Linked DNA regions of Cricetulus griseus. The protein of the gene in region 4 binds, or shares a complex with, the protein of the main gene of each other region. Links are inferred from orthologs where the notes say so. Each region holds a gene or a part of one and is shown on either strand. Other genes may lie near its edges.

Region 1 (3,968 bases), on a different chromosome or scaffold from region 4:
TGACTTAGAAGGTATGACTTTTTCTTCACCTCCTCCTGGCAGCTGCCAGGATTGTTACCTCACTTACACTGTGCTTTCCCTTATATGCTGGTAAAATTACCCCTGGACTTCCAAAAAAAAAAAAAAAAAATCAAAAACCCAGGACTTTGTCCATGCTTAGACAGCACTCTCCTACCTGAACCACCTCCCTGCCTCTAAACAAGTGTGCCTAAAGTTTCTGTTTTAATCCCTAGGATATCAAGTGTGTGTACAATGTTAGAGTCCAGCTCTGCTGTAGCAATGCCACATTAACTTCAGCCCCTTTGTGGCACTGGGTATCAAACCCAGAGCCCTGTGCATGCTAGGCAAATGCCTTACCAGTGAACTGTATTTCCAGCCCTTACTTTCAGTAACAAATGTCTTGTCATTTCTCCGTCCCACCCTGTGTATACTTCTCTCTGCCTTCCACTCTCATTAATGTGTGTGGCTAACACCAACTCAACACCAAGAGCTCTAATAAATATCACTTTCCTAGGGGCTGGAGAGAAGGCCAGAGGGTGAGAGCACTTGACTGCTCTTCCAGAGGACCTGGGTTTGATTCCCAGCACCCACAGGGCAGCTCACAACTGTCTGTAACTCCAGTCCCAGGGAGGGCCAACGCCCTTCTCTGGCTTCTACAGGCACTGCCTGAACATGTTTGAACAGACATAATATAGGCAAAACACCCAAGCACGTTAAGTAATAAAGTAAATAAATCTTTTAAAAAAAATTGCTTCCTCGACGGGCGTTGGTGGTGCACGCCTTTAATCCCAGCACTCGGGAGGCAGAGGCAGGCGGATCTCTGTGAGTTCCAGGCCAGCCTGGTATCCAGAGCGAGTGCCAGGATAGGCTCCAAAGCTACACAGAGAAACCCTGTCTCAAAAAACAAAACAGGGGGGTGGGGGGTGGGGGTGGGGGTGGAGGCTCAGATAAACAAAGCACCAAATGAGATTAAGATAGAATAAAACTGGGGACTGGAGAGATGGCTCAGAGGTTAAGAGCACTGGCTGCTCTTCCAGAGGTCCTGAGTTCAATTCCCAGCAACCACATGGTGGCTCACAACCATCCATTATGAGATCTGGTGCCCTCTTCTGGTGTGCAGATATACACGGAAGCAGAATGTTGTATACACAATAAATAAATTAAAAAAAAAAAAAGATAGAATAAAACCATTGTACCATAAAAAAAAAGGAAAAAGAAAAACAAACAAACAAAAAAAAGAAATTGCTTCCTCTAGAAAACTTCCCTGACTGCTCAGAAAGGCCTAGGTATCATATCCATGTTTTCCTTCCATTTTTTCCATACTGTGTCCTAAACATATCCTGTCAATTATTAGTGGTAGTCTGCATCACCTTCTACATTCCTTGTGTACTAGGACCAAATCCCCAGGGCCTACCACTGTCTGAAATACTGAGTAGGGCTATATAGCTCAGTGATGGAGCATTTGCCTAGCACATCCAGGCCCTAGGAATTTAAGTCCATCCTCAGCATTGTCTCAAAAATAAAACAAGGGACTAGCAAGAAGGCTCAGCAGGAGCTGGGCGGTGGTGGTCCACGCCTTTAATCCCAGCACTCGGGAGGCAGAGGCAGGCGGATCTCTGTGAGTTCGAGACCAGCCTGGTCTACAAGAGCTAGTTCCAGGACAGCCTCCAAAGCCACAGAGAAACCCTGTCTTGAAAGGAAGAAGAAGAAGGCTCAGCAGGTAAATTTCGGCGCTTGGCATGAAATCCTGCTGATGTGAGTTCAAATCCTCAGAGAATCTATATGAAGGTGGGAAGAACAGAACCGACTCCACGAAACTGTCTTCTAACCTCCACCTAATTATATAAACTTTTAATTGTAAATGTATATAGAGAGAGCATATGAATGAAATGTTCATCACAAAAAATGAAGTGTTAGCCTTATAAGAAAATAAACTGAAAACTGTTCTCCAGATGTTTTACCTCCAAAAGGCTGGGGTATGGGAATATTTACCTGGGAACTAATGGAGTACTTCAGGTAGGAGAGGATGAGAGGGTTGGGGGAAGGTCCGATCATGGCCTGCTCCAGGAGTGCTTCTGCAAGGGGAATTAAAGAAAGGCTAAGTGGTTGGAGCTTTCCGGGGTTCACCCCGCCCCATCCGTCCTTCACGTTGTACTGGACACCTGCTAGGTTGAGAATGTCCCAGGTGGCTCCTCTAGGAAAGAATTTCTTCATGTTGATTGCCCACTGGTAGTCACTCCATCGCTCTTTCCAGGCTTGTAAAATGGCTTGCTTCAGGTTCACCACCTTCATGATTTCACTCCAAGGAGGCGGGACCGGTGGCGGGGTGGGCGTTTAAAAATGCTACGAGAGGAGAGATGGGGTTCTGAGGGAAATCACATGGGAGAGATAAACACAAGGGAAATTCGGAAAGACTTAAGCGAGACAGAAAAACTAGACAGAGTAGAAACCGGGGCGGCAAGGTAGAGATTCTTCTGTCACGCTCTCCCGTTCTGAGCAATCGTTCCTTGAACTGGGACAGAGGTGTATCAAACGGGCCACGCCAAAGCCCTCAAGAGAGCAGGAAGGGGTTAAGCCCGCCCCGGTTGCCGAATTATGCCCTTCGCTCTAGCTGTGCCCCTCACCACTACCACCCCAAACCCAGATCTACTCATTCCCCATTTCCTCTACCTTCCTCGGCGCTGAAGCTGTAATTCTCCCTTTCCTTTCATTCACCATCTCCCCAAATTTAAGCCTACCGGAAAACCGAGTTCTACATCGTAGGCAGCGCCATCTTGGCACCTATTAAGGTACTCATTTACTATTGGCCCGCGTTGACAGACACCGACCAATAGAAACGTAGCGAGAGGCAAGTCCTGCCACAGTACCTTCTGGGAATTGTAGTTCCTTAAGCTTTGTCTTTGCCCACAAGCAAGCTAAAGCATTAGTGTAATTGTTTCCTGGTAGGTTTTCTCTGAGATGATACAGAGAGCTGAGGTACGTTTGTACCAGGAGACTCAGGGCCTAGGGAAGAAACACTCTGTCTCTCAATGTCATAGCCATCTATCTGTACCTTCAGTCATTCTGATACTCTGGTTATTTCCCTGTAACGAGACACAACTTGGGTGTTATGTGTTATATATGCAGTGTGTTCCAACCTGGCTTCTGTTGGGTTTTTGGTTTTTGTTCTCCAAAGCCCCTTCCTGTTGCCACTAGAGGTCTCGTTTCTATTCCAAAAGAGACACTGAAGTGTGGCTAGTTGTACACATACCACCATTTCACTCCAAAGTTTGACAGTGCTTCCAGAATCCCCTGATCCTGAATACTGTAAGGAAGTAAGGAAAAAAATAAGGCCAGATGTGGGTGGCGCACACCTTTACTCCTGGCACTTGGAAGGCAGAGGCAGGCAGATCTCTGTGAGTTCAAGGCCAGCCTGGTCTAGAGCCTGGGTAGGCTCTGAAGCTACACAGAAAAACCCTGTCTGGAAAAGCAAAAACAAACAAACAAAGAAGGCCTAGAGAAAGAAAATGTGATGTAGTACTGTGGGTGAGACCACCCTATAAAACACACTTGGAGGCCACAGACCAGTGTTTTATAACCCCTCTTTTTCTTGACTCCCAAACTCAGATCCCAAGAAGACTGATAACTCAGCCTGTGGCTTCAAAATCCATTTATAGTCCCCAACAACTCCCTTTAGTCCCACCCTCCTTTTCGTACAGGTAATCAAGCACTGTACCACTGAACTACATTCCCTACTTCAAGCTTTTGAATGAAAATCAGCATCAAGCAACCCGTAAAGGCTCTGAAAATGGCCTTGTAGACATTTAGTAGGAAACTGATAGGAGCCTAAATACCTGGAACACAATATAAACAGGAGTAGGGCCAGATCAATCCTTCTTTTTCTTTTTGGTTTTTTGAGACAGGGTTTCTCTGTGGCTTTGGAGGCTGTCCAGGAACAAGCTCTTGTAGACCAGGCTGGTCTCGAACTC
Region 2 (3,945 bases), on a different chromosome or scaffold from region 4:
TTTTTAAAAATGATTTATTTAAAAAATTTTTAGACAGTCTCTCTGTCTGTTCCTCTCTCGTTGGATGCCTTGAAGCTCCCTATATAGACCAAGTTGGCCTTGAACTCAAAGATCACCTGTCTCTGCCTCCAGAGTTCTGGGACTGAAGGTGTGAACTCAGCCTGAAAGATTTAATTTTACCTCATTTGTGTGTATATGTGTTGTGATGTGTGAATGCATTCCACATATTATTTGATTGCTTGTGGAGCCCAGTAGAGGGTGTTGGGTTCCCTGGAGCTGGAGTTAGGGGTAATTGTGAGGCTCTCATGTAGGTTCTGGGTACCAAGCTGGAGTCCTCTGAAAGAACCAAGTGCCCTTAACCTCATAACTTTGGAGCCATCTCTCCAGTTCTCCTGGCCCTTTCTGAGGACTTCATGCTTACTAAGCATGTACTCTACCAACTGAGCCACATCCCCAGTCTTTCTACTCATACTTTTATGCCAACTTAGCTTTGGGGCCTAATCAACCACTATACTACTCTTCCATTCAAATTGTTTTTCTTTTCTTTTCTTTGTTTTTAGTTTTTTTTTCCGAGACAAGGCTCTTCGTGTAACAGCCCTGGCTGTCCTGGAGCTCATGCTGTAGACCAGGCTGGCCTCGAACCCACAACCTGTCCGTCTCTGCCTCCCAAGTACTGGGATTAGAGGCATGCACTACCTCTGCCCGGCTGACAGCTTATTCTTGCTGTCATTTTGGCTAACAACATTCTGAAAACCATCAAGTAGTTCTTAATATTTTCCCTAAGATATCTGAAGCAAGACTACAAAGTAATAAGATTGACACCAACAAAAAATACAAGCATAGCCCTTAAACCATGTATTTTGAATCTCAAAAAAAAAAAAAAAAAGCTACCTAAAAACCAGGCTTACTAATCTCCACTTCTCACACCATCCCTCCCTCCATTCCCACATATCCAGCATTTGCCTAGAACAGAAATCACTATTTGTCAACTGATTTACACAAACAAGTACAATTAGAACAGGTAATGCAAAAGATAAAGAAAGCTGGGCATGGTGGCACACACTTGGAGGCAGAGACAGGTGTATCTCTGTGAGTTTGAGATCCGTCAGATCTACGGTGAATTCCAGGCAAGCCAGAGCTACACAGTGAGACCCTGTCTCAAAATCAAAACAACTAAAATAAAGAAAACTGTTGGAAGACACCTATCACTAAAGTACAGTCAATTTCTTTATGCTTCAGTTTCTCAATTATAAAACACAGACAATACTTATCTAAAAGGGCTATAAGTATTACATATTGTTACACACTGATATGAAATTGAAATTATTTTGCTAATAGTTACTGGAATGAACTGAGGACCTTTTTTGAAGCAGGATCTCGTCACCTAGGCTGAGCTTTAATCCAGATCTTCCTGCCTTCACCTCCTAAGTGCTGGTGTGTAGTACCACAAATCCCTAAGACTAACACCTCTTGATTTTTAGGCCTTCAAACTTTTTCTTTCCACAACTTCTTACTCTCAGACTATCATACCCTCTGTAGAAGACACCCCCAATTCTCTCTTTTTATATTTATTTCTGTAGGCTCTGCCTCTAACATGTATCCTTTATCCATTCACTTCTCTACAGCTAAGATTTAGTCCAAACTATTATTTCTTTCCTGAACAATGGCTGGTAACATCCGATTATCTTACTTTCATTCCTCATGTTGCTGCTGAATATTTGAAAATCAATAAATTAGATCATTTTGCACCCATGTTGAAATGGCTTCAATTTGAAATTTAAACACTCTACATTGCCTTATAAAGGTCTTTGCCTATCTCCCATCACTACTGGATTTGTTTGTTTTACTGGAGTCCAATCTGTCTTCGACCCCTTAGATATTCTAAGCTTCCCCCCCACCCCCCGCCTCCTGATCGATCAAGTCTCTCGTATCTATAGGTATCTCTTTTCTATCCACCGATAACTTTATTTACTCTTGAATGCTATCTACTCAGAGAAGACCTGTGAAAACTCATGCATGGCAGGTAAGAGTCCTACCACTGAGCCATGCGCCCCCAATTTCCAAATAATTGTATAAATGAAAGAATTAATTCAATTTTAATATTTTCTTTGAACATGTCAATCTCCGAGTCCCTGACAAGGATGGCTACTTACTATACACCTAACAGACTTTAAAGTCTTAGCGTCTCCAAAATTGTTAAATCAGGTCTCCCGAGTTCCAAACAATGGCTCACGTTTTTATAGAGTCACAAACGGCGGTCAGAGAACCGGATCACAGAACTTTTCGCCAGTAGTCCCAGATAGTCACACCCACCCCAAACCCATCCCATGAAATCAAGCTCTCTCTTAGGGTTATGAATCGCCCAAGAGCTTCTGACACTTGAGTTGCCCGCTGGCCACGCGTCGCCCGTTGCTTCACGCCTCGCACAGCAGGCTGAAAGCCACACCCGTCACCTAATCAGTACCTGATTGGCTGCTTTTGACCCCACTACTCACCGGGCAATTCCCGCATAAGGTAGAAGGGGCCGCTTCCAGCAGCCGACTTGTCTGCGCCCGCAGGGGCCGAGGTCGCCGTCGGGGGCGGGGCCGTGCCTGGGCCACCTCCCGGAGGAGGCGGAGGTGGCGGGGGCGGCTTTCCAGGCCCGAAACCTAGGGCGCTTGGGGGTGGTGGGGGGTCAGCCTGAGCTCCAAACAGCGCGGTGAAATTCTCCATAGCACTCTCGGCTCCTGCATTACCCGGGATCTGGCGTTAATGACTTTCATTGGCCAGTACTTTCCCAGGGTACCACCCTCGTCCTCGAAGAGCTTCCGGCCATTGGATACACTAGGCCCCGCCTACCACCTTCCTGTAGTTACTTCCGTCGCTCTAAGAGACAGTTTGGGAAGTAGTTCGCAGTCTTACAGCCAATAAAATGACTCAGGTAGAAGAGCGACAACTCTATGGACCAATAGACTGTCTAACTCATTTTCTCATCTATCATAGCACCCAATAAGAGATCTACATCCGGGTCCGGAGGCGTTGCATCTGATATTTGGCCCAATAGAAGCCTCGCTGGTGGGGGGCAGCGGAGGGAAGGGCTGGGGGCCGAACGGAGCCTGCGAGAGAACCGGCAAGGAAGATGGCTGTCCTCGCGCCTCTGATTGCTCTGGTGTACTCGGTGCCGCGGCTTTCTCGATGGCTGGCTCGACCTTATTGCCTTCTGTCTGCCCTGCTCTCCGCTGCTTTCCTCCTCGTGAGGAAACTGCCGCCGATTTGCAACGGTCTCCCCACGCAGCGCGAAGATGGTAACCCGTGTGACTTTGACTGGGTGAGCGCCCCCTGCCTCAGCTCTCGTTGACCATCCCTGCCCCTGCAGGTGCATATGAAAGTGTGGGGGAGATTTGGGGATGTAACCATCTGACAGACTGAATGGAAATCCGCTGCTAGTCTTAACCTCCTTGTTTAAGATGGAGAGAGAGATCCCAGGGTTTCTCCACACATAAACAGGGTTCTGCAGTGATGCCAAGCTTCCTGGAGCGCCGGCGAGGAAGGCAGGCAAGCCAGTAGTAGAAACACCACTTTTAGTCATTTATTTGACAAATTGATCGCAGTGTAGCTATTTTATTTATTTATTTGGCAAATTGATCTCAGTGTTGTTGGGCGACTTTCCCAAGGTCACACAGCGTTCACAAAGTGCTATCTAATCTTGTTCAAAACCCTCTGATAGGCCGACTTAGATCGCTAACTCAACAAAATTACTTAGGTGGAAAAGCAACCGCACGACTACCCTGGCCACTGTAACTGCACATACTATCATCCTCAGGGAGGATAGAAAAACAGAGATTACAAAAACATGAGGAGGGGGGAGCCTCTCACCATTTTAGAAGCACTAATTTCAGAACAATTAACATTTGCTGTGAAGGTTGTGGAACATAGAGCTAATATTCCTTCCCTATCTAAATATTT
Region 3 (3,962 bases), on a different chromosome or scaffold from region 4:
GCACTGTTATAACAGCCTAATAACTTAAAAGTCTCTCCTTCAGATTCCTAAAGGAATCAATAATTGCATCATAAAGAGCAAATCCGGTGCAATCTGTTCTACAGGCAGTCCAGGATCAATTCAGAAAAGTGACTAGGATATAAAGAAAAGGCTTGAAATGTTTCCCTCTAATTTTTAAGATAGGGTCTATGTAGCCTTGACTGGCCTGAAACTTGCTACATAACTAAGCTGGCCTAAAACTCACCGGGATCTGCCGGATCTTCCTGAGAGCAGGGATTAAAGGGGCATCAGGCTAAAATTTCTGGGTTTGTTGTTGTTGTTGTTGTCCACCCTTTTAGGGGAGGGGGAGTTCAAGACAGGGTTTACCTGTGTAGCCCTAGCTGTCCTGGAAGTAGCTTTGTACACCAGGCTGGCCTTGAACTCAGAGATCTATCCACCTCCACCTCTACCTCTCAAATGCTGGGATTAAAGGTGTGTACCAGCTTGTTTTTCTTTTTTAATTAAGACAAAGCAGAGGGGTGAGTTCAAGGTTTTGTTTTACCATTCAAAGGGATAGCTGTGTAGTTGTGATGTTTCTCACAATTGTCTATCAAACAACTTGACAGTGTTCATGTTTGTCTTTCTTTTGTTTACAGTGAGTTAATGTGCACGATACATTTAGCACAGTACTTGACACATAGGAAACTATAAAGAAGACAGTAAGTCTAAGACTCCCAGAAAACACCACTTCTTATATGTTCATTTTCAGCTTATGGCTATACCACTACATTTTAGTAGTTTATAGGTTGGAAGGCATTAGAAACCCAGAGAGACAAGGGGAATGCTAAATGACAAGTTCAGACAGACCAAATCAAATCAGAGTCTTACTCTAAAACTAGTTACTGGATTTTATCCTACATGAATAGAAGTGGCATGTTCTGATTTATACTACTAAGACAGTAAATTGGTTTTGACAGACAACTGTTTGGCTTTGTTTGGTTTGAAGGGAGTGAGGTAAGAATGACAGCAGAAATAAGTGAGATTACTGTAACAATTCAAATTAGAAATGACAATGACATGACATGAACTAAAAGCAGAAAAATTCAAAACATAGTTTGCCATTCTGACACCGAGAAAACTGCTAAATATAAGCACTTCGTATTTATAATAAAGTATACACAGATTTAAGATTATAAAAATTAAACTTACTTTAGATACTTGGCATATTCTGGTTCTTTCCAGTAAAGCAAGTACTTAAGATAATTTACAAAAGCTTTGTCTTTGAAGTAACCTCTTTGGGCAAGAACTGAAAGGCATAAAGAAACAATCTGTATGTCAACCAACTGCTGGACTACTGACTTGTAATCGCTACAATAAAGTAGCTCTTTTAACATTCCTACCATCAAAACACAAGGAATTAAAAAACACAAGTCCTTGTTTGCTCAGTTAATAACTACAGACCATCGAAAGTAAAATCCCATTCAAACATACCGAAGTAAATACTATTATGAATTCCATCTCTTCTGTCAGAAATCATTAACAGCTAGCTACTCAACTTAATGATGTACTCGACTTACAATTAAGGTAATTTGGGTTGGCTAAACATTGCACAAATTCCAACTCCAACTGAAACCGAAGTCGATTTCCAGCATCATCTAGGAGAAAAAAGTAAAAGACACCCAAAATAAAAGTCACGATACCAATGATTTGTAGAAACAAAAACAAACTGCCAGTGAGACTGCTCAGCATGTAAAGGTGCTCACAGAAAAGTCTGATGACCTGAGCTCCATCCCTGGAACCCGCAGGGTTGCAGGAACAGTAGACTCCTGCAAGTTGTCCTCTGACCTCGGCATGCACCGCCCACCCCCATAGGAATGAATTTATGAAACAAATACCAAACTGCAGGAGAGATTTCCTTAGAAATCTCAGAGTGGAGCCTGGTTTAAAACAAAACAAGCCGAGTGGTGCATGCCTTTAATCCCAGTTCTTGTAAGGGGGAGGCAGGAGGATCTCTGTGAATTCCAGGCCAGCCTGGTATACATAGCCAGTTCCAGGCTAGGCAGTAGTACATAGTGAGACCCTGTCTTCAAAACAAAACAAAGATAATAAATTACCTAAAGTTAGTTGAGAAAAATAAACGAAACGGCTATTTAAGGCCACTATGGGAGGATGGTAACAGAGATCACTGGTTGGTCTGTAATAGCTGTGCCACCCCCAATGTTAGCGTTACAACCACAACTACTAACAGTGATTAAGTTAAACAAAAACAAAGTGCTAAATAAAAGCAGGAAGCAAGATGCAAAATGATTAAACAGCGGGGAGGAGACGGTAATCCGTATCAGAACCATACACGTTACAAACATTTCAAGCAAGTTCACGGGAAAAGCTCCATAGAGCAGACAATTGAAGGGCTCGGTCCTCTCCCTCAGTCCCACCCCGGCCCGCGAGCCAGGGAGTGGAGGTGTGAGCAGCCCAGGAGCAAAGATGTCGTTCACACAGGCCACAATCAGAGACAACACCGCCTTCTCCCCCACCGATCCCAACTCCTTAAGGATGCCGGGTTAAGCCCGAAAGACGGCGCGGGGAAACCGGAGAGAAGGGGGGAGGACCCGTTCCCTCGGTGAAGACTCCAGGAGCACGACACCACGAACCTGTCTCCATAGCGACGGCCGCGGCCATAACCAGAGAGGAGAGAGACGCGAACACAACCAGCCCGACCCAACCGCGGCTTCAAATGGTGAGGGAGGATCCGGAAGCCACGGCTCTTATTTCCGGTCGCGGGGCATGTGGGACGCGAGGGCGGAGACAGCCTCCTTCTGAGGAGAGAGGCCCCGCCTATCTGTGTGGTCTGGGCCGGCAGCCTGAGCAATTATCTAGCGGCGCGTGCTGGAAGAGCTCGTTGCTCGCAGATCCTATGTGGCCCGCAGCAGCCTACACTGACGTAGCTCATCACCCTGACGTCACCGTCCCTTGTGTGACGTGACACAGAGCATGAGTCTTGGGCCTCTGTGTCCCTTCTGACCTGGGTGTGCCAGCAGGATGGCCTCGCCCCTTAGGAGTAAATCCTTCGCCCCGCGAGTGGAAAGCACCCGCCAAAAGGAAACGTCGACTATCCGCGTGGAGACGTCGTCCCACCGCGAGGAAACGTCATCCCACCGCGTGGAGACGTCCTCCCGGCAGGTTCGAACGTCTTCTCGTCAGGTGGAGACCTCTCAGCGCCACCGAGAGGGACCCTCCCTGACCTCCTCCGCGAAGCGACTCCCTAGATTCCTCGAGGTATCCTCCCAGCACGTGGAAACCTCCTCGCAGTGCACGGAGACGTCCTCCAGCCACGTCAGGGCGTCGTCATCCCTGCGGGTGGAGACGACTGTGCACCGTGTAGAGAGCCCAGCCAGGAGGGACAAGCAAACAGCTCGCCAGAGTGCCAAAATGACCCGATGAAGTGGCCATGGCCCTTAGCCAGCACTGAAGTGTTTCCATTTGCCAGCCAGCCAGCTTCCAGGAGAGCCAAGCATCTTTGGTTTCATGGAAACAGCCTGTAAATCAATGTAAGAAACAGGCTGTGGTTTCTGGGTGCTGCCAACATGTATTGAGATTGCATCACCTTAGACCACCCTGCTGTTGACCCAGTGTACTATTTAACTCGAAGCCAGCACAGAAGGGCTTCAGACTTGCGGTGCGTATATACTCGGCTGATGATGGACAAAGAGGCTCTTTGAGTCTCTGCACCAGGTAAGTTTCGTAGCCTGAGGTCCCTCTAGAATGGTTTGACCACTTGAAATTTGCGAAGAAGGACCAAACTTGTCATGAATTCATGACCACTGGCTTGATTATATAGTGCTTGAAACCAATAGAACAAAGAATCATCTTTCATGGATTATTAATTGACCTTTATTTGTATTTCATAATAAGCTTTCCTATGTTAAGTTTTTATACACAGTACTCCACATACAGGCTTTTATTATTTTTTAAATAGGTCAGGG
Region 4 (4,063 bases):
CACTCTGTTCTGCCAACCAGCCTCCTTACCTCCACTCTCTGATTCTCGTTCCTCTTTGCTAATTTTCTCCAAAAGGTTTGAGCACATTTTATTCAAGCTCTGGATCTGCTTCTGCAACACACAGGAATTGATGTAGTGATTAGAAATGACTCTGGGAAAGCATCTTCCTTGTGCTCTTCCAAAGGCAGCCTAGCTGTAACCAACCACAGACTCCTACTACCCAGGCTTGGTAAAGTCTTGCTTCTTATGAAGGGATGGGGATGGGGCAGCAGGGCAGTGACTCAGTCCAACCTGAGCTGCATCAGCACCAATTCTGGCAGCATCTGTTGTCAGCTGCTTCTCCTGCTCTTCAACTTCAGGGTCAGGCTTGGTTCTCAAATGGTCAGGGACGACCTCATGGCTGAAAACAGGCACTCGTCCTTCAGTCTGACGCTGTAACACAGATTGTATTGATCCTATTGTGCTATCCAAGTAAGCCGATTCTAACCCAGTTTCTCTTCCGTGGGAAACTGCATTTTTAGAGACAACACAACCTGAGACACAAATGTAGCTTTCTGTGGCTTTGTCTTTTCACATACACTCTATCAGAACTAGGACAAAATAAATTCCACCCTCCACAACCGCACTGTAATTTTCTTTTTGTTGTTGTTTCTATTTTGTTTTGGTCTTTCGTGATTCCCCACCCCCATTCTGGGGACCAAACCAGGACTTTTTTCTACCACTGAGCTAAATTCCTAACCCCACATTTTAAAGACTGATTGGACAAAGTTACAGGCAAGCAGAACAGACTTTTTTTTGGAAAAGAAAGGTCATGGACTTAGTTGACATGGCCTTGGCTTTCACAACATTATTTAAGAGTGACTCCTGACTCCAGAAGGACAAAAAAGCAAGTCTTCCAGATAGCAGCCCCTACTTTTCATTGCTATACAGAGGGTCCAATCAACAACTGTGCTCCAGACTTTCATTTAAGGACCTGATTTCCCTGGTTCAATCCTTTCTTCTTACCATGAGGTCTTCATCTCGATCTGGGGACAGCACCAAAGGGATGATGACCTGGTTACGGAACAGTGGTGTCTTCTCATGCTTTAAGACCTTGTTCAGAGTGTTCAACTGTCCAGAGAGCAATGCAAAGCTATCCAGGACAGAGGGCCTGCGGGTGGTAGGAAGTCATCAGAACTACTTTTCCCTATAAAGTAATCTCTAAAGTTCTAATGCTGGAACACCCAGACTCACCCCCAGAAGACTCACAGCCCTATGACTAGCCTAGGCAAGAACCAGATTTTCTAGCAGAGATGATGGAGTTGGGAAAGAGGAGCACACTGTCAATTTCCAACACGGACACACAGACGTAGAAAAAAAGCAACTCTTTTCCTTTTGGGGGGGTGAGGGGGCAGGGTTTCTCTGTGTAGCCCTGGATGTCCTGGAACTCACTCTGTAGACCAGAATGGCCTCAAAATCACAGAAATCCACCTGCCTTTGCCTCCTGAGTGCTGGAATTAAAGGTGTGTGCCACCACTGCCAGTCGTAACTCATTGTTTGAATGGGATTGGAGGTAGTGGAAAACAGAAACTGTGGTTACACTGTGGTAACTAAAAATTCTTTAAGTGGATAAAAGCCTCCTTTCTAGCCTAGTTAACAGAATCCATCATTCCAGAGTAGGGTGGATCTCAGATTCAGCCACATCTGTGGAAGGAGATCCAGCATGAATATAGCTTTAATGGTTCCCCACTGGGGGAACACCTCCTCACCAAAGAAGTCAAAGCGTAAGAATTAAAACCTCGAAACAGCCTACGTTGGGAAACTGGGCATTTCTCTACTTCCTTGCCATGGAGGCTTTAAGCCAAACTATACTTGTCAATGTTGGGCAACCTAGTTCTTGCCAAATCAAAAAGGATATTTGCAAACTGATAAATAGTTACATCATTGGAGATGTCCTGTCAGCCCGGGGGCTTGGCCCCACCACCCATGGATTCCCTCCCCGGCTTGCCCTGGCAATCCTTACCAAGTCAGCCGGTCATACTCGTTTTCCAACTTGTAAATGAAACTCCCCAGTGAATTCTTCAGATCGGCCACTTGATTCAGCAGTGCATCTAAGGATGCCTCAAGCTGCTTCTCCTCCCTCTGCATCAACAGTATGCTTGGTTACTCAGATACGAGCGATCGTGGCACATACAGAAAAGCTAAATTGGTTTCTATCTTGGTATTTGGGTTACAGACAGCATCAACCCTTAGACCTTTCAACCTGTTCACCTGGCCTGAAGTCCTCTTACCAATTGATTCCTTCTATCAACCTCCTACACTATGGCCCTTCAAAAGGAACATTACACCAGACCTAATTCCCTTCTGCTTATGACCTCACCATTTTGTCTTCATAACAAAACTGGCTTAGAACTGTTTATCACTTAGCCCTTCATCTTTTCACTTCGATTCTCTTCTCCTCCCAGCTCAAAAGACTGCCTCTCTTAAAAGCCAACATTCTCTTAATCTGCAGATGCTCAAGCCAAAGCACAATCTTCTTTGTTAAGTCTAGCCTTTTCTGGAAAACAGTCTGCCTACCACGCAGCTGCTTGATGTCCTAACTCTGCTTTCCTTGGGCATATAGAGAATCCTTGTATTGTGTCATTCTGTGGAGTTGGTATTGCCACATTTCTTTCAGAAAGTTCAGTACATGTTAGAAAGGTTTGCCAAGGTAACAGGGGTGCTGTCGGCATATAAGGCCAGAAGGCACACCTGAGGTTCATTATCTCATTACCTCATGGGTGCCTCTATAGTACATGCAAGCCATTATCCTCTGCCCTGTGAGTGCAGCTACTCTCAACACAATCTGGAGAATCTCACATTTTGCCCGTATCTGAGGCTGTCTCTGAACACCAGCTCTGCAGCTCCCCTCCCCAACTGGTCCTTTGCTGAGTCAATGTGTACTCCTGCATCTCTGTGCCAGTATTCCAGTGTCTCTTTCGTAAACTCGGGTGACCCATAAACAGTCACTGTAGGAATACCAGGTGCAACAAACTGAGTAATGGAAGACAAAGGCGAGGAAACCAACACATTCTTTCTGGACGTTAGACAATTTTAAATGCTGTGTTGGCAGAGGGTTTCCGTTTGACCATCTGTGGTCTATTTACTCCACTTCTGCGCCCTAAGCAACGGGGTACAAGGCGGGAAGAATGACACAAAGCTGATTTGCAAACCCGAGAATGTGAAGGATGAGGTTGGATACTAGGTTCCACCCACAGCCTCGGATTACAAACTGCTTAGTTTTCGTCCTTGGCGGCCCACAATCCCTTCAGCCTTCTGAAGCCTTGTTGCGCCTGTGCCCAACAGTCGAGGTCGAGGGCTGTCCCAGCCCACTTCTTTCTCTAGCCTTCCCAAATGCCAATTCGATCCTTTCACACAGTCAAGCAAGTCGGCCGTGCCTTTCCCCCTAACCCACGCCTCTGACCCTCTGGCGTTAGCGCGCTAAATCCCCGCGCCCCCCGCAGCTGTCCTCGTCCCTTCCGGCTTCGCCGCCTTTCCCCAAACAGCCGAGGCCTCTGCCCTATCCTCACAGCTCCAACTTCCCAGAGTCCTCGGCCCGCCCACCCTCCAGCCGGTGGCTAGCGGCTGGGAGGCCCAACCGGCTTCTCACCTGCATTGCCACGGCCCGGTTGGCGCAACCACTTCCTCTTCCGGTTTCTCGCGCCGCCGTCTGTGCCCACCAATCAAAAAACTCAGAACGCGGCCATCCCTACGACTTCCGGTTCCTGCCCGGTACCGAGCTAGCTGGGTCAGAGGTCAGGAGTGGAGCATCCTCCCTGGCCCGGGCCGGCGCGGGAGGGCTGTGTGATGGCCTCGGAGCGCCCGGAGCCAGAGGTGAGGGGCGGGCGGGCGCGGGACCGAGGCCCAGAGGGCAGGCGCGTAGCAGCCTCCACCCTCCGGAGCCTCGAGGAGGCCGTAGCTGTTTTGTTTACTCAGATGTCATCCTGATCCTCATCTCCCACCCACAGATCTAGAGATGGTTGTAATGACAAAACTTCGTGTTTGGGGTATTAGTTGCGATTTTCATTGGGCCACGCTGAAGCTG
Region 5 (4,273 bases), on a different chromosome or scaffold from region 4:
GATGGGTAGTGGTGGCAGCACACGCCTTTAATCCCAGCACTTGGGAGGCAGAGGTAGCTGGATTTCTGAGTTCAAGGCCAGCTTGGTCTATACAGTGTGTTCCAGGACAGCCAGCACTATACAGAGATGCTGTCTCGTGGGGGGATGAGGGTAACCTGGGTTTGTTTTTTTTTTTTTCCCTTCAAAATATAACAAGAGTTTTGAGGAGAGAACTTAACAGCCGCCTCTCCAGGACCAACCGTCAACTCACCAGGATTTGCTCTGCCTCTTTCAGCTGTTTCTGCAGCTGCTGAATATCACTGTCTCTCTTCTCGACTTCTTTTTCTAATGCCTGCATTTCATGGTGGACTTTTCCCTGATTAAGTGCCAACTTCATCAGTTCTTGAAAGTCCCCATCTCGGTGAATTAGCAGCTCCAAGACCTGTCAAATAATAGTTGATTCCATCAGACAACAGGGTTATCAAGGCTATCACCAATGAGACAAAGAACCCATGCTTGAATTGGCTAGGTTTACCAGTTTTAACACCCGGAATAGTCTTAATCAGCATTAACAATATACATAGCCCATTTGGGGTAGTTTGAGGAAACAAGTTTTAATATCAAGAATTTCCATTTTTATTCTGGTCCTTTTCCATGTAGAACATATCTTTCAGAAGTAATACTGTGCAAATTTCAAGTTTATTCATCTTCCAAAGATAAAATTAAAAAAATTATCCTTATACTACGGAATAATAAAAAGCTCTTCCAAAATCTAATGGTTTGAAGTGACTTTAGTTGGCACCAAACACTTTAAAACTTTGAGATACACCCGGGCGTTGGTGGCGCACGCCTTTAATCCCAACATTCAGGAGGCAAAGACAGGTGGATTTCTGTGTTCAATGCCAGCTTGGTCTACAGAGTGAATTCCAGGATAGCCAGGGATACACACAGAAACCCTGTCTCGAAAAACAAAGAATGAATAAATAGATAATGAATAAATGGTATGCAGATATGGAAAAATGCCACCAAGTTTAATATGCTATCTTGTTGTGGCGGGGGAGCTGGGGTTTTTTCCCCTTCAAAATATAAGCAGAGTTTTAAGGAGAGAACAGAAGCCTGGGGTTTAGTTTGTAACCCTTCAGTTGCTAGCAGTAAGTCACAGGAAAAGAAGTCACCACCCTCCATGAGCCTATTCTCTCCTCTAAAAAGAAAACTTCCCCAATAACACCTATCGTATGCCAGACTATTCTAAGGACTCATGATGTAAGGGAGGTTGGAACACACAGAAGAGCTCAGCAGGCCGATGTGTTGACCACACCTACAATTCCAGCACTGAGATAAAGGTAGGAGGACCAGTAAGTTCAAGGCAAGCCCCGGCTACATAAAAACCCAGAAAGAGAGAGGGGCAGTGGTGGCATCTTGGCAGGCAGATCTTGGAGAGCTCAAGGACAACCGAACAGATAAACCCTGTCTCAAAAACAAAAAAGATGGTTTGAGCGTATGTTTATATTCATTTTGAGAACAGAACGTACTTGAAATCTTTAAACTGATACTTTTTTTAAAAACCAGAGTTTTATTTTATTTTTTTCCAAGACAGTATCTCACTACATAGCCCTGGTTGTCCCGGAACTCACTCTGTAGACCAGCCTGGCTTCAAACTCAGAGATCTGCCTGCCTCTGAAGGTGTGAGCCACCATTTTTTTTTTTTTTTTTAGATTAAAAAAGAAACCGTTTACCTGGTTTTCCTCATCCAGCTGTAACAGCTTCTGATTTCTTGAAATTGCCAGCATTTCTATAAGTTCCCTAAAAGAAAAGCAACCATCAGGGTACGGTGGTACTTGCCTTAAACTCGATAAAGGGGTGGGGTAGGGTGGTGGTGGGGGGGAGGGGGGATTCAGGCCATCCTGAGCTACCAAGTGAAACCTTTTAAGAACACAATAAAAACCTGTGAGAATAAATAGAAAAGAAACTGTTTTAACTGCTCTCTGTCCCAACCGATTACTGGCTTCATGGTTGTGATTTACAAGAAAACTATCTGACCTGGACTGTGGGTCTGCAGGCCGAATCCAGGAGGGCTACAGCTTGTGGAAATTATTTTCTTGTAAGATAGCACTGACTGCCATGACGATGGGGCTCTGCCCTTACAAGGCTCCAACTGATCGACTTTATAATGACAATATGGAGAATGACACCCAACTTAATCTACTTCTGCCACACAGGAGCCATCCCACCAAGTCCTGCACGTTTCTGACCTTTTTTTCCGGGATGATGGGATCATCTGCCAGACGCCTAACGAGTCTGATGTCTTCCCCAGACAGCCTACTGGTTTGGGAAGCTCGCCTTGCTTACACCGGACTAGGGGTCCCATCCGTGGACTCCAGAAGGCTGCAGCTCGGCTCGTGATCCCAGCAGGGCTCCCTGGTGCTGGCACCCAGCCTCCCTCGACTACAGCATCCCTGCACTTGGCACTCCGGGGCTGAGTGTCCGTGGACCGGGCCCTTCCTTACTGTCTTGGGGCTCCAGGTCGCTGAGATGTCCCCTTAGTGGGGACATGCCGCCCAAAGCCCCGGAAGGCCGCAGACCCCAGGTGCCCCACACTCGCGCTCCGGCCCGACACTCCCCGGCCCGCCTACCCCCAGTCAGCGCCCACAGCAGGGCCGGCCCGAGCAGGTTTCCCGGGCCGCGGTTACCTCGACAGGACCTCCAGGTCTTCCAGCGCAGACAGCAGCCGCTCGCGCGTGCTGCCAACGCCTGCCATTACCGAGACGCCGCCCAGACGCTCCTTCTCCTTCTCCCCACTTGAAGAAGCCGCCATCGCCCAGCCGATCGCCAACAACCGCATGCGCAGAGTGAGCTAGCGGCAGGAGGGGCGGAACCGGAACACGGGAGGAAGAGTCATAGAGGTGGTGAGAGAGAGGCTCCGCTAGAGCGCCGCCTACGGTCTTGGAGGTGCACTGCAGTTCTGGCGCCATCTGCTGCGCAGAGGAGGGATTGCTCCAGCCGGACCCAGGATGAGAGAGCTATCCAGTCTCCTGGATCTCCTGTTTCCTTAGCTGCAATGGGAAGTTGCTAATAAACGAATTTTAAGAAAGCGAGAGAATTGCACAATTATTAACTTTTATTTTGTCTGCATTCCCATAATATTATCAAGCCCGTTAAGATAGTTCTCTCATGAGGTTGTAGTAAACATCTTAGGACAGGAACCAACATTTCCCCCCCCCCCATTCTTTTGTTTGGTAGCAAAATATATATACATATAAAATTCACTATCTTTTTTTAATCCGGGAAGTCACTCTATGGGCCAGGATGGCCTCAAACTCAGAGCTCTGCCTATCTCTGCCTTTGGAGTGCTGGGATATCAAGTGTTTAATTTTTAAAAAGTTTTTTTTTTAATTTTAAATACTGTCTCATGTAGTCTAGGCATGTACTACCACACCTGTGGCTCAAACCTAGAGCTCTAAGCATGCTAGGCAAGCATTCTACCCACTGAGCCACACCCCAAGCCCTGGAGTGCTGGGATTAAAGGTGTTTGCCACCACCACTGGGCTATTTAAATTAAGTATCTTAGCCACTGTATGTATAGAGTTCACTGGCCTTAACTTGCTGTTAAATAAGAGTAGTGGTGGTACACACCTTAAGAAGCAGGCAGATTTCTGAGTTCTAGGCCAGCCTGGCCTACAGAGAGAATTCCAGGACAGCCAGGGCTACACAGAGAAACCCTGTCTCAAAACAAAACAAAATTGCTGTTAAATAGCATCCATATCCAACTCTTTTTTTTTGCTTGTTTGTTTGTTTGTTTTTGGTTTTTGAGACAGGGTTTCTCTGTATTTCTTTGGAGACTGTCCTGGAACTCTTTCTGTAGACCAGGGTGGCCTTGAACTCACAGAGATCTGCCTGCCTCCGTCTCCTGAGTGCTGGGATTAAAAGCATGAGCCACCAATGCTGAATGCTGAGCCACTCCACCAGGCTGAATTCATTTAGCATAAATGCCCTTAAGTTTCATCTACATTGGAATAGGTTCCAGAAATACCCTCCCTTGAAGTCTGAACACCACTCCACTCTTGTGCACACCATACCCACCCTCTGATGGGCATTTGGTTGGGTTTCTTTCTTACTTTTTAGAACTCATCTTTCTACAAAATGCCTTGCTCCTTAGTCAAGATGACTGGCAAACCGAATGAATCAATAGAGTGTGTGAACAGCAATTCAAAAAATTAGTGTAAATAATTGACAAAGTACATATTCCAAAGCAGGACCGGTTGTCAACATTGAAAACCCACGTCCTCCCAATCTT
Region 6 (4,058 bases), on a different chromosome or scaffold from region 4:
CCCCCTCTCCCCCATCCCCCGATCCCGGCTAACCCTCAGAAGTATAACAAATTCAAAATTAACAGGGGTCGCCCAGCTCTCAGGAGCACATGTGGTTCCCATTACCTGTTTCCCTTCCGTTTCCAGTCTGGATCTTTAAGGTAACCTCGGAGCCCGCCGCCCGCCCGCCCGCCCTCCTCCCGTCATCTGCAGCGGAGCTCCGGGTCACCCAAAGACGGGGGGTCGGGAGCCCGACACTTAACATCTCGCTTCTCTTGGTGTGGCCTAAAACTCCAGGTGGTTCTGACGCTTGCTTTCCTGCTCGGTGGGGCGTTCCTGTTTTCCAGCACCTGAGATGCAAAGCCAACAGGAAGGGGCGGATGCCGGGCTGCAGCCCCGCCACCTCGGGCACGGCGGTCCCTCCGGCCGGCGACGCGAGCGGCGCTTCCTCCTGAGCGGGTCGCGCAGGCCCTGTCGGAGGCGGCGGTGCCCTTAGGTCCCCTCTGCGCGGGTCATACGGGGACACGCACTGCCCCGCAGACCCGCGCCTCCGGTTTCCACCGCGGCGGCGGCTGCGCAGAACTCTCCCGAGGTCCTCGCGGCGCGGGTCTCCTTGGCGTCGCTCCTGAGCCGGGTCCCAGCCCCCGGCTGCGGCCCTTCATCCGAGGGGAGGGTCCTCCTTCTCCGCACCCCCGAGGCAGCCCGGAGGAAGAGTCCAAGCTCCAAGACCCAGCGGGTGCGCTTCCGTTAGGAAGCTCCGCCCACCGGTTTTTCGGAGTGGGCGTGGCCTTTAGACAGCGTCCGTTGCCCCGCCCAACTGCCTCCCAACGGCTCTCTGGAACGGGCCATGGGGCGTGGCGACGCGACCTGATAAACGCGCGTGCGCGCGCATGCGCAGAGGCAACAGAAGCGGCTCACGAGCCGGCCCCTCCCAGAGCCAGAGTCTCCGCCCGCCCCCATCTCCCAACCTCCTCAGCGTGGCGCCGACGCTGCGTGCGGCGCGGGTTACCCAGAGTGCTCAGCGCGGGGGCAGCTCACTGGAGTTTGGTTCTCGAGGCGGCGGCGGCGACGGCGGCGGCGGCGGCTTCTCCGTCGGCTCCTCCTCCCCCCCTGCTCGCAGCAGCGGCGGCGGCCCGGGGCCCGAGCTCCGGTCCCCTCCGCTTCCCTCCGTCTTCCGCCATCTCCCCGAGCGCCCCGACCTCCTCCGGCGCCGCGGGGAACATGCGGCTCCGTTCCCGGAGGCTGGCGAGCGACTGACCCGCGTCCCCCCGCCCCAGCCCGCCCGCCCGCCGGCCCGGCCGCTCCCCCCCGCTTCGCCCAGGCAATGACAGCGGCTCCGGCGTCTCCGCAGCAGATGAGGGACCGGCTGCTGCAGGCCATCGACTCCCAGAGTAACGTAAGTGACTGCTTGGAGAACGGGGACCGAGGCCGCATGTGCCGGGACCCTCCCCCTCCGACGCGCCCCCGGCCTGGGGGCCTCTCCCGGCGGCGCCCTGCCCGCCACAGCCGTTGCCATCTCGGCCTCTCGTTCTCCCGGGTCCAGGGGCCGCGGGCAAGGCGGGCAGCCCGGCGACTCAGGGTACCTGAGGCCGAGGCTTCACGCGGCCTGGACTGAGGGATCGCTCGGAGCCGAAATCAGACCTGGTTCTCCTCGGTTGCCTCGGCCAGATTGTCCTTGGTGCTTTCCACCTTGCCTCCCTGTCTCTCTTCGACCCCGGGACTTGAGACCCCCCGGAAGGGTCTCCCTACGGGGGTCAAGGTGGGAAGCAACTAGTGTCCCCCGATGACTCTGGTAGCCCGCGTCTCCCTTCGGTCTTCTGGCTGAAATCGTCTTCTTGGGCTCGGAGAGAACCCTAGGCCCTCCTTGTCCCTAGTCTTGCTGCTTGGGATCCCTGGAGAGTTTCCCTTCTTTTCTGATACTGGACAGACCCCAGTTTAATCCCTCCAAGGGTCGCTACCTAGGAAAGACGACCCTGCAGAAGGTGGGATCCTTCCTGTCACCTTTCTTGGCCTAAATGTCCCATTGTGTGTCTGACAAGCCTGGGGTTTTGGTACTGAATTCCTGCTCATCACAGTCGATTGTTCTCTCGCCCCTATTCTGGTCTTCTTTCCATCTCTCTTGCCCCACCTGAGGGACTCGGCCTGGTGTTTGGTCTCTAGGCTGTCAAGAGTTAACTGTATGGGGTCACTTTATGTCACATTTCCCTCTGCTAAGCGTCCTATGAGCAGAGGGACACCCTTTCTTCCTGTGTGAGCATAGGCTAATCTCACCTGTTGTGTTTTTTCCAAAGGTTTGTTGGCAGTGTAGGGAGGGGGTGAGGGTCTTTGTTCCTGGAAGCAGCAGGGCCATGAGAAGATGCACAAGCATCCAGGTATGAAGTGTTTGCTGGGAGACCAGGAAGTGGCCTTTGAGATCACTTTTTAATATGCTCAGGATGGAAAGAAAAATCATCTTGGGCTTGGCCAGGTAACTGAGGTTTGAGCAGGGAGCTCTTTTGGTTCCCTTACTTGTGCTTGGCTTGTTACTCTTAGTAATGTGCCATATTCTGGTGTGTTCCAAGAAATTCACATTAGTTGTGCAGTCTTGGTAGAAATGGAGGTTTCCTGATCTCTGGAAGAATCTGCTTGCCAGATTCAAAGTAAATCTCTTCTTCCTGATCTTGAGGCCCTATTAAGATCACCTTGATACTGATTTAGCCAATATTTTAGACATTTTTGGTGGGTGGAGTAAGGACAGGCTAGATAAAATCTTCTAAAAAGTCTTTTTTTTTTAAATGTTTTTTAAAACAGTGACTGATATTACTGCAATTACATGATTGAGATATTAAAAGATACAAACAAGTGATGTGAAAAATGTAACCTCAGTGGCTTTTGCATGTTTTCTGAAGCTACAATGTACACAGTGGATTTTTTTTTTTTTTTTTTTTTTTTTTTTTTTTTTTGAGACACGGTTTCTCTACCTGTAGACCAGGCTGGCCTCAAACTCACAGAGATCCACCTGCCTCTGCCTCCCAAGTGCTGGGATTAAAGTTGTGCGACACCACTGCCAGCATCCACAGTGTAATTCTTAAGTCCTGTATGTTGACTCGTGAGAAATCACCAGGGATCCTGACTGCTGCCTGTGAGAGTGCTGGGATCAGCTAGTGCTTTGATAGGCAGTAATGATGCTTCGCTTCAGGTGGGGCAGCCTTGCGGGTAAGGCTCTGACTAAAGGATTCTTTTGGGGGTAAAAGAAGGAAGATAGAGGACTCAAATTTTAGTGTGTGAGTGTGTGTGTGTGTGTGTGTGTGTGTGTGTGTGTGTGTGTGTGTGTATTAAGACAGAGCCTCTGGAACATACTATGTCCTTTGCCTTCCGAGTATTGGGATTAAAGGCGTGGGCCACAGTGCCTGGTCCCCAAACCTTTGCTTTTTGAATCTTACCTTGGGCCTAAGTGTTAATATACTCCTTCACCTGTGGGTAAGTTACTTGGAGTGGAGTGTGTATCTCAAAGGGCTATAGGGATAAGTGACCTCATTGTGATGGCTAGAGTTGAGAACTTGTCTCTTAATGAGGAGGGAAGTTTTTCTCTAAATGCAGTGTATCAGTAACTATTCATGAACACTGTCATGTGCTGGCTTTGCAGGACCTCTTTGTAGAACTCAGCCTGGAGGACTGTCCTTGATTTCTTCCAGAGGCATTGAAGGGTACTTTTTCTGGATTGTTCAGGGCCCAAGTAAGAGCTGTGTGCTGGCACAGGGCTCTGCTCTGCCCAGTTATGAGCTCTACCACTTGGTAATTGACACATATTTAAGATGTTCATGGAAAAAAATACAAAATGGGGACACAGTTGAAGAGCTTACACTAAAATTAACCCTCTTGAGAGAAAGTGACAGAGATTGGTGTCATGTAATGCTTACCTTTATGAGTGCAATCATAGCTAACAAATTTAGCTGTTGCTTGGAAAGTCAGTGCCAGGCAGCTGACCTACTGTCCACAGTCTCTGAAATTGGGAGCAGCTCCTTGACCAAGGAGGTCTCTAGAGGAAGGCCAGCTCTGCTGTGTGTTCTAGCTTCTGAGCAGCAAGCACTGTCCTTTCT
Region 7 (2,174 bases), on a different chromosome or scaffold from region 4:
TCCAGGCTGCCCTGGTCATTGGTTGGTAATTTTTTTCCTCAGCAGTGAAGCTTCATGATACAGTGACAGATGTCATAAGAGCCTCTTCCTCCCACCACACCCCTTTATTTTCAGGATGCTTTGTATGGGTTTATCTTTGAGAAATTAACAAGTGCTAGTGTCTTTTGTGCTCAGAAAGGTTTTTTGTTTGTTTTTATTTTTTTCAATGCCATTACTGTAATTATGGGTACCTGCCTTCTGCTGGAATGGTGTGCCTTTCTAGATGTCTGCTGCACAGACCCTCTTCCCCCAGATGGGCAGGGAGGGGGTGGCAACAGAAGATCCTAGGCACAAAGCAAAAACAAGACACCCTGCACATCCATCCGTAGGCTGTTATCTTTCTTTTGCCTCAGCAGACACCCAGCTGATGTGTGGCTGCCCTAGCTTCCAATCCCCTCAGATTTTATTTATATATGAAAAAGAGTAACTTGTTTATTTAACTGCTCTGGAAAGCACCAAGGAGATAAAGGAAAACAATAGGGGTGTTAACAACATAATCTTTAATTAGAAAATAATTGATGGCCATTCCCTTTTTGTAAATGTTAGTTTTAAATCTGAGATCATCTTGTCTTGGACCCTGTCCTGTCAGAAGAAGGAAAAACATACTCTGAAGTCACTGATGGTGGTTGGGGGTAGTGTTGTCTGGTTCTGCTCTGAATCTGTGTTCTGTTTCTTTAGGTTCTTGATTGTCGACAATGGGTGAACCACAGCAAGTGAGTGCACTCCCACCACCTCCAATGCAGTACATCAAGGAATATACAGATGAAAATATTCAGGAAGGCTTAGCTCCCAAGCCTCCCCCTCCAATTAAAGACAGTTACATGATGTTCGGCAACCAGTTCCAATGTGATGATCTTATCATTCGCCCTTTGGAAAGTCAGGGCATTGAACGGCTTCATCCTATGCAATTTGATCACAAGAAAGAACTGAGAAAACTCAATATGTCTATACTGATTAATTTCTTGGACCTTTTAGATATCTTAATAAGGAGCCCTGGGAGTATAAAACGAGAAGAGAAGCTAGAAGATCTTAAGCTGCTTTTCGTACATGTGCATCATCTTATAAATGAGTATCGACCCCACCAAGCAAGAGAGACCTTGAGAGTAATGATGGAGGTCCAGAAACGGCAACGTCTTGAAACAGCTGAGAGGTTTCAGAAACACCTGGAACGAGTAATTGAAATGATCCAAAATTGCCTTGCTTCTTTGCCAGATGATTTACCCCATTCAGAAGCAGGGATGAGAGTTAAAACTGAGCCAATGGATACTGATGATAACAGCAATTGTACTGGACAAAATGAACAACAAAGAGAAAATTCAGGTCACAGGAGGGACCAGATTATAGAGAAAGATGCTGCCTTATGTGTCCTAGTTGATGAAATGAATGAAAGACCATGAGTATTTTTTCTTTTAGTGAATAGCATCATATATTAGTTTATTTTCTCTTGGACAGTCTTAAGAGGTATAACTAAAAATATAAAGGGACTTTTCTCAATTGAAATGCTGTAGGTGATAATTTAACAGTAAGGATAGGCAAGGAAGTATATTTGAGTAATGATCATAAAAAAGCAGAATGTTTGCTATTGAATGGGATAGTCCTATTTTTGGAAGTGGAATAAAAATTTTAAGAAATATTGAACTGTCATTCTTACGGGGGAGTTATTTCCTTTAAGACTAATAAAGGGCATCAAACTGTACATGTGAAATTACAAAATGTTTAGATTTATTCCAAAACAATACAGGAACTATTTTCCTGATGACTGTTCTACAAACTCAGTATCACAGCCGCTTCTTCCTTATCTTCCATAAAATATCTGCTAGGGGCTTCCCCTTCCCCCCAGTCAGGTAATCAGTCTTCGGTCACTAAGTTTATGTTCATTTTAGACATTAAAATATCTTATGTGCTAACTATATTTCCTGTGTTAGCTGTCTATGTGAGTGTGAGTGCATTTCCTGCAGAGGCTAAAAGGGTGTTGGCTTTTTTTGGAGTGAAGGTGGTTGAAAGCCATTTCTGTGGATGCTGAGAACCAAACTGGTACTATACAAAGAGCAGAATGTGAGCCACTGAGTCATCTCTCTAGCCTCTGCATTATTCCTTTAAAGCCGACGTCTGGTGTTAAATCTGGAAGTTTGCAA

The links.
Region 1: Med8 (region 4) and Med24 share a complex: the UniProt entries of both Homo sapiens proteins name them as parts of the mediator complex. The link is inferred for Cricetulus griseus from reciprocal best matches to the Homo sapiens genes MED8 and MED24.
Region 2: Med8 (region 4) and Med19 share a complex: the UniProt entries of both Homo sapiens proteins name them as parts of the mediator complex. The link is inferred for Cricetulus griseus from reciprocal best matches to the Homo sapiens genes MED8 and MED19.
Region 3: Med8 (region 4) and Med31 share a complex: the UniProt entries of both Homo sapiens proteins name them as parts of the mediator complex. The link is inferred for Cricetulus griseus from reciprocal best matches to the Homo sapiens genes MED8 and MED31.
Region 5: Med8 (region 4) and Med4 share a complex: the UniProt entries of both Homo sapiens proteins name them as parts of the mediator complex. The link is inferred for Cricetulus griseus from reciprocal best matches to the Homo sapiens genes MED8 and MED4.
Region 6: Med8 (region 4) and Med26 share a complex: the UniProt entries of both Homo sapiens proteins name them as parts of the mediator complex. The link is inferred for Cricetulus griseus from reciprocal best matches to the Homo sapiens genes MED8 and MED26.
Region 7: Med8 (region 4) and Med7 share a complex: the UniProt entries of both Homo sapiens proteins name them as parts of the mediator complex. The link is inferred for Cricetulus griseus from reciprocal best matches to the Homo sapiens genes MED8 and MED7.

What each region holds. Positions count from the first base shown.
Region 1 is NC_048600.1:111,813,063-111,817,030, forward strand, and holds the start of Med24 (mediator of RNA polymerase II transcription subunit 24), read right to left. Parts: upstream 2,801-3,968; 5' UTR 2,739-2,800; exon of another isoform or gene 2,671-2,738; intron 2,344-2,670; 5' UTR 2,293-2,343; coding exon 2,163-2,292; intron 2,076-2,162; coding exon 1,993-2,075; intron 1-1,992. UniProt on the Homo sapiens protein: Component of the Mediator complex, a coactivator involved in the regulated transcription of nearly all RNA polymerase II-dependent genes.
Region 2 is NC_048599.1:90,852,325-90,856,269, forward strand, and holds the start of Med19 (mediator of RNA polymerase II transcription subunit 19), read right to left. Parts: upstream 2,801-3,945; 5' UTR 2,713-2,800; coding exon 2,496-2,712; intron 1-2,495. UniProt on the Homo sapiens protein: Component of the Mediator complex, a coactivator involved in the regulated transcription of nearly all RNA polymerase II-dependent genes.
Region 3 is NC_048600.1:86,054,533-86,058,494, forward strand, and holds the start of Med31 (mediator of RNA polymerase II transcription subunit 31), read right to left. Parts: upstream 2,801-3,962; 5' UTR 2,659-2,800; coding exon 2,631-2,658; intron 1,635-2,630; coding exon 1,557-1,634; intron 1,286-1,556; coding exon 1,189-1,285; intron 1-1,188. Other genes in the region: uncharacterized protein C17orf100 homolog, read left to right, coding at 3,019-3,420. UniProt on the Homo sapiens protein: Component of the Mediator complex, a coactivator involved in the regulated transcription of nearly all RNA polymerase II-dependent genes.
Region 4 is NC_048595.1:33,902,819-33,906,881, forward strand, and holds the start of Med8 (mediator of RNA polymerase II transcription subunit 8), read right to left. Parts: upstream 2,801-4,063; 5' UTR 2,786-2,800; coding exon 2,753-2,785; intron 2,122-2,752; coding exon 2,003-2,121; intron 1,151-2,002; coding exon 1,006-1,150; intron 433-1,005; coding exon 292-432; intron 112-291; coding exon 30-111; intron 1-29. Other genes in the region: KICSTOR complex protein SZT2, read left to right, coding at 3,826-3,852. UniProt on the Homo sapiens protein: Component of the Mediator complex, a coactivator involved in the regulated transcription of nearly all RNA polymerase II-dependent genes.
Region 5 is NW_023276807.1:228,014,915-228,019,187, reverse strand, and holds the start of Med4 (mediator of RNA polymerase II transcription subunit 4), read right to left. Parts: upstream 2,801-4,273; 5' UTR 2,795-2,800; coding exon 2,670-2,794; intron 2,645-2,669; exon of another isoform or gene 2,348-2,644; coding exon of another isoform or gene 2,232-2,347; intron 2,143-2,231; exon of another isoform or gene 2,020-2,142; intron 1,783-2,019; coding exon 1,716-1,782; intron 422-1,715; coding exon 251-421; intron 1-250. UniProt on the Homo sapiens protein: Component of the Mediator complex, a coactivator involved in the regulated transcription of nearly all RNA polymerase II-dependent genes.
Region 6 is NW_023276806.1:247,288,613-247,292,670, reverse strand, and holds the start of Med26 (mediator of RNA polymerase II transcription subunit 26), read left to right. Parts: upstream 1-1,258; 5' UTR 1,259-1,303; coding exon 1,304-1,375; intron 1,376-4,058. UniProt on the Homo sapiens protein: Component of the Mediator complex, a coactivator involved in the regulated transcription of nearly all RNA polymerase II-dependent genes.
Region 7 is NC_048600.1:60,992,662-60,994,835, forward strand, and holds the end of Med7 (mediator of RNA polymerase II transcription subunit 7), read left to right. Parts: exon of another isoform or gene 1-21; intron 22-717; 5' UTR 718-734; coding exon 735-1,436; 3' UTR 1,437-1,674; downstream 1,675-2,174. UniProt on the Homo sapiens protein: Component of the Mediator complex, a coactivator involved in the regulated transcription of nearly all RNA polymerase II-dependent genes.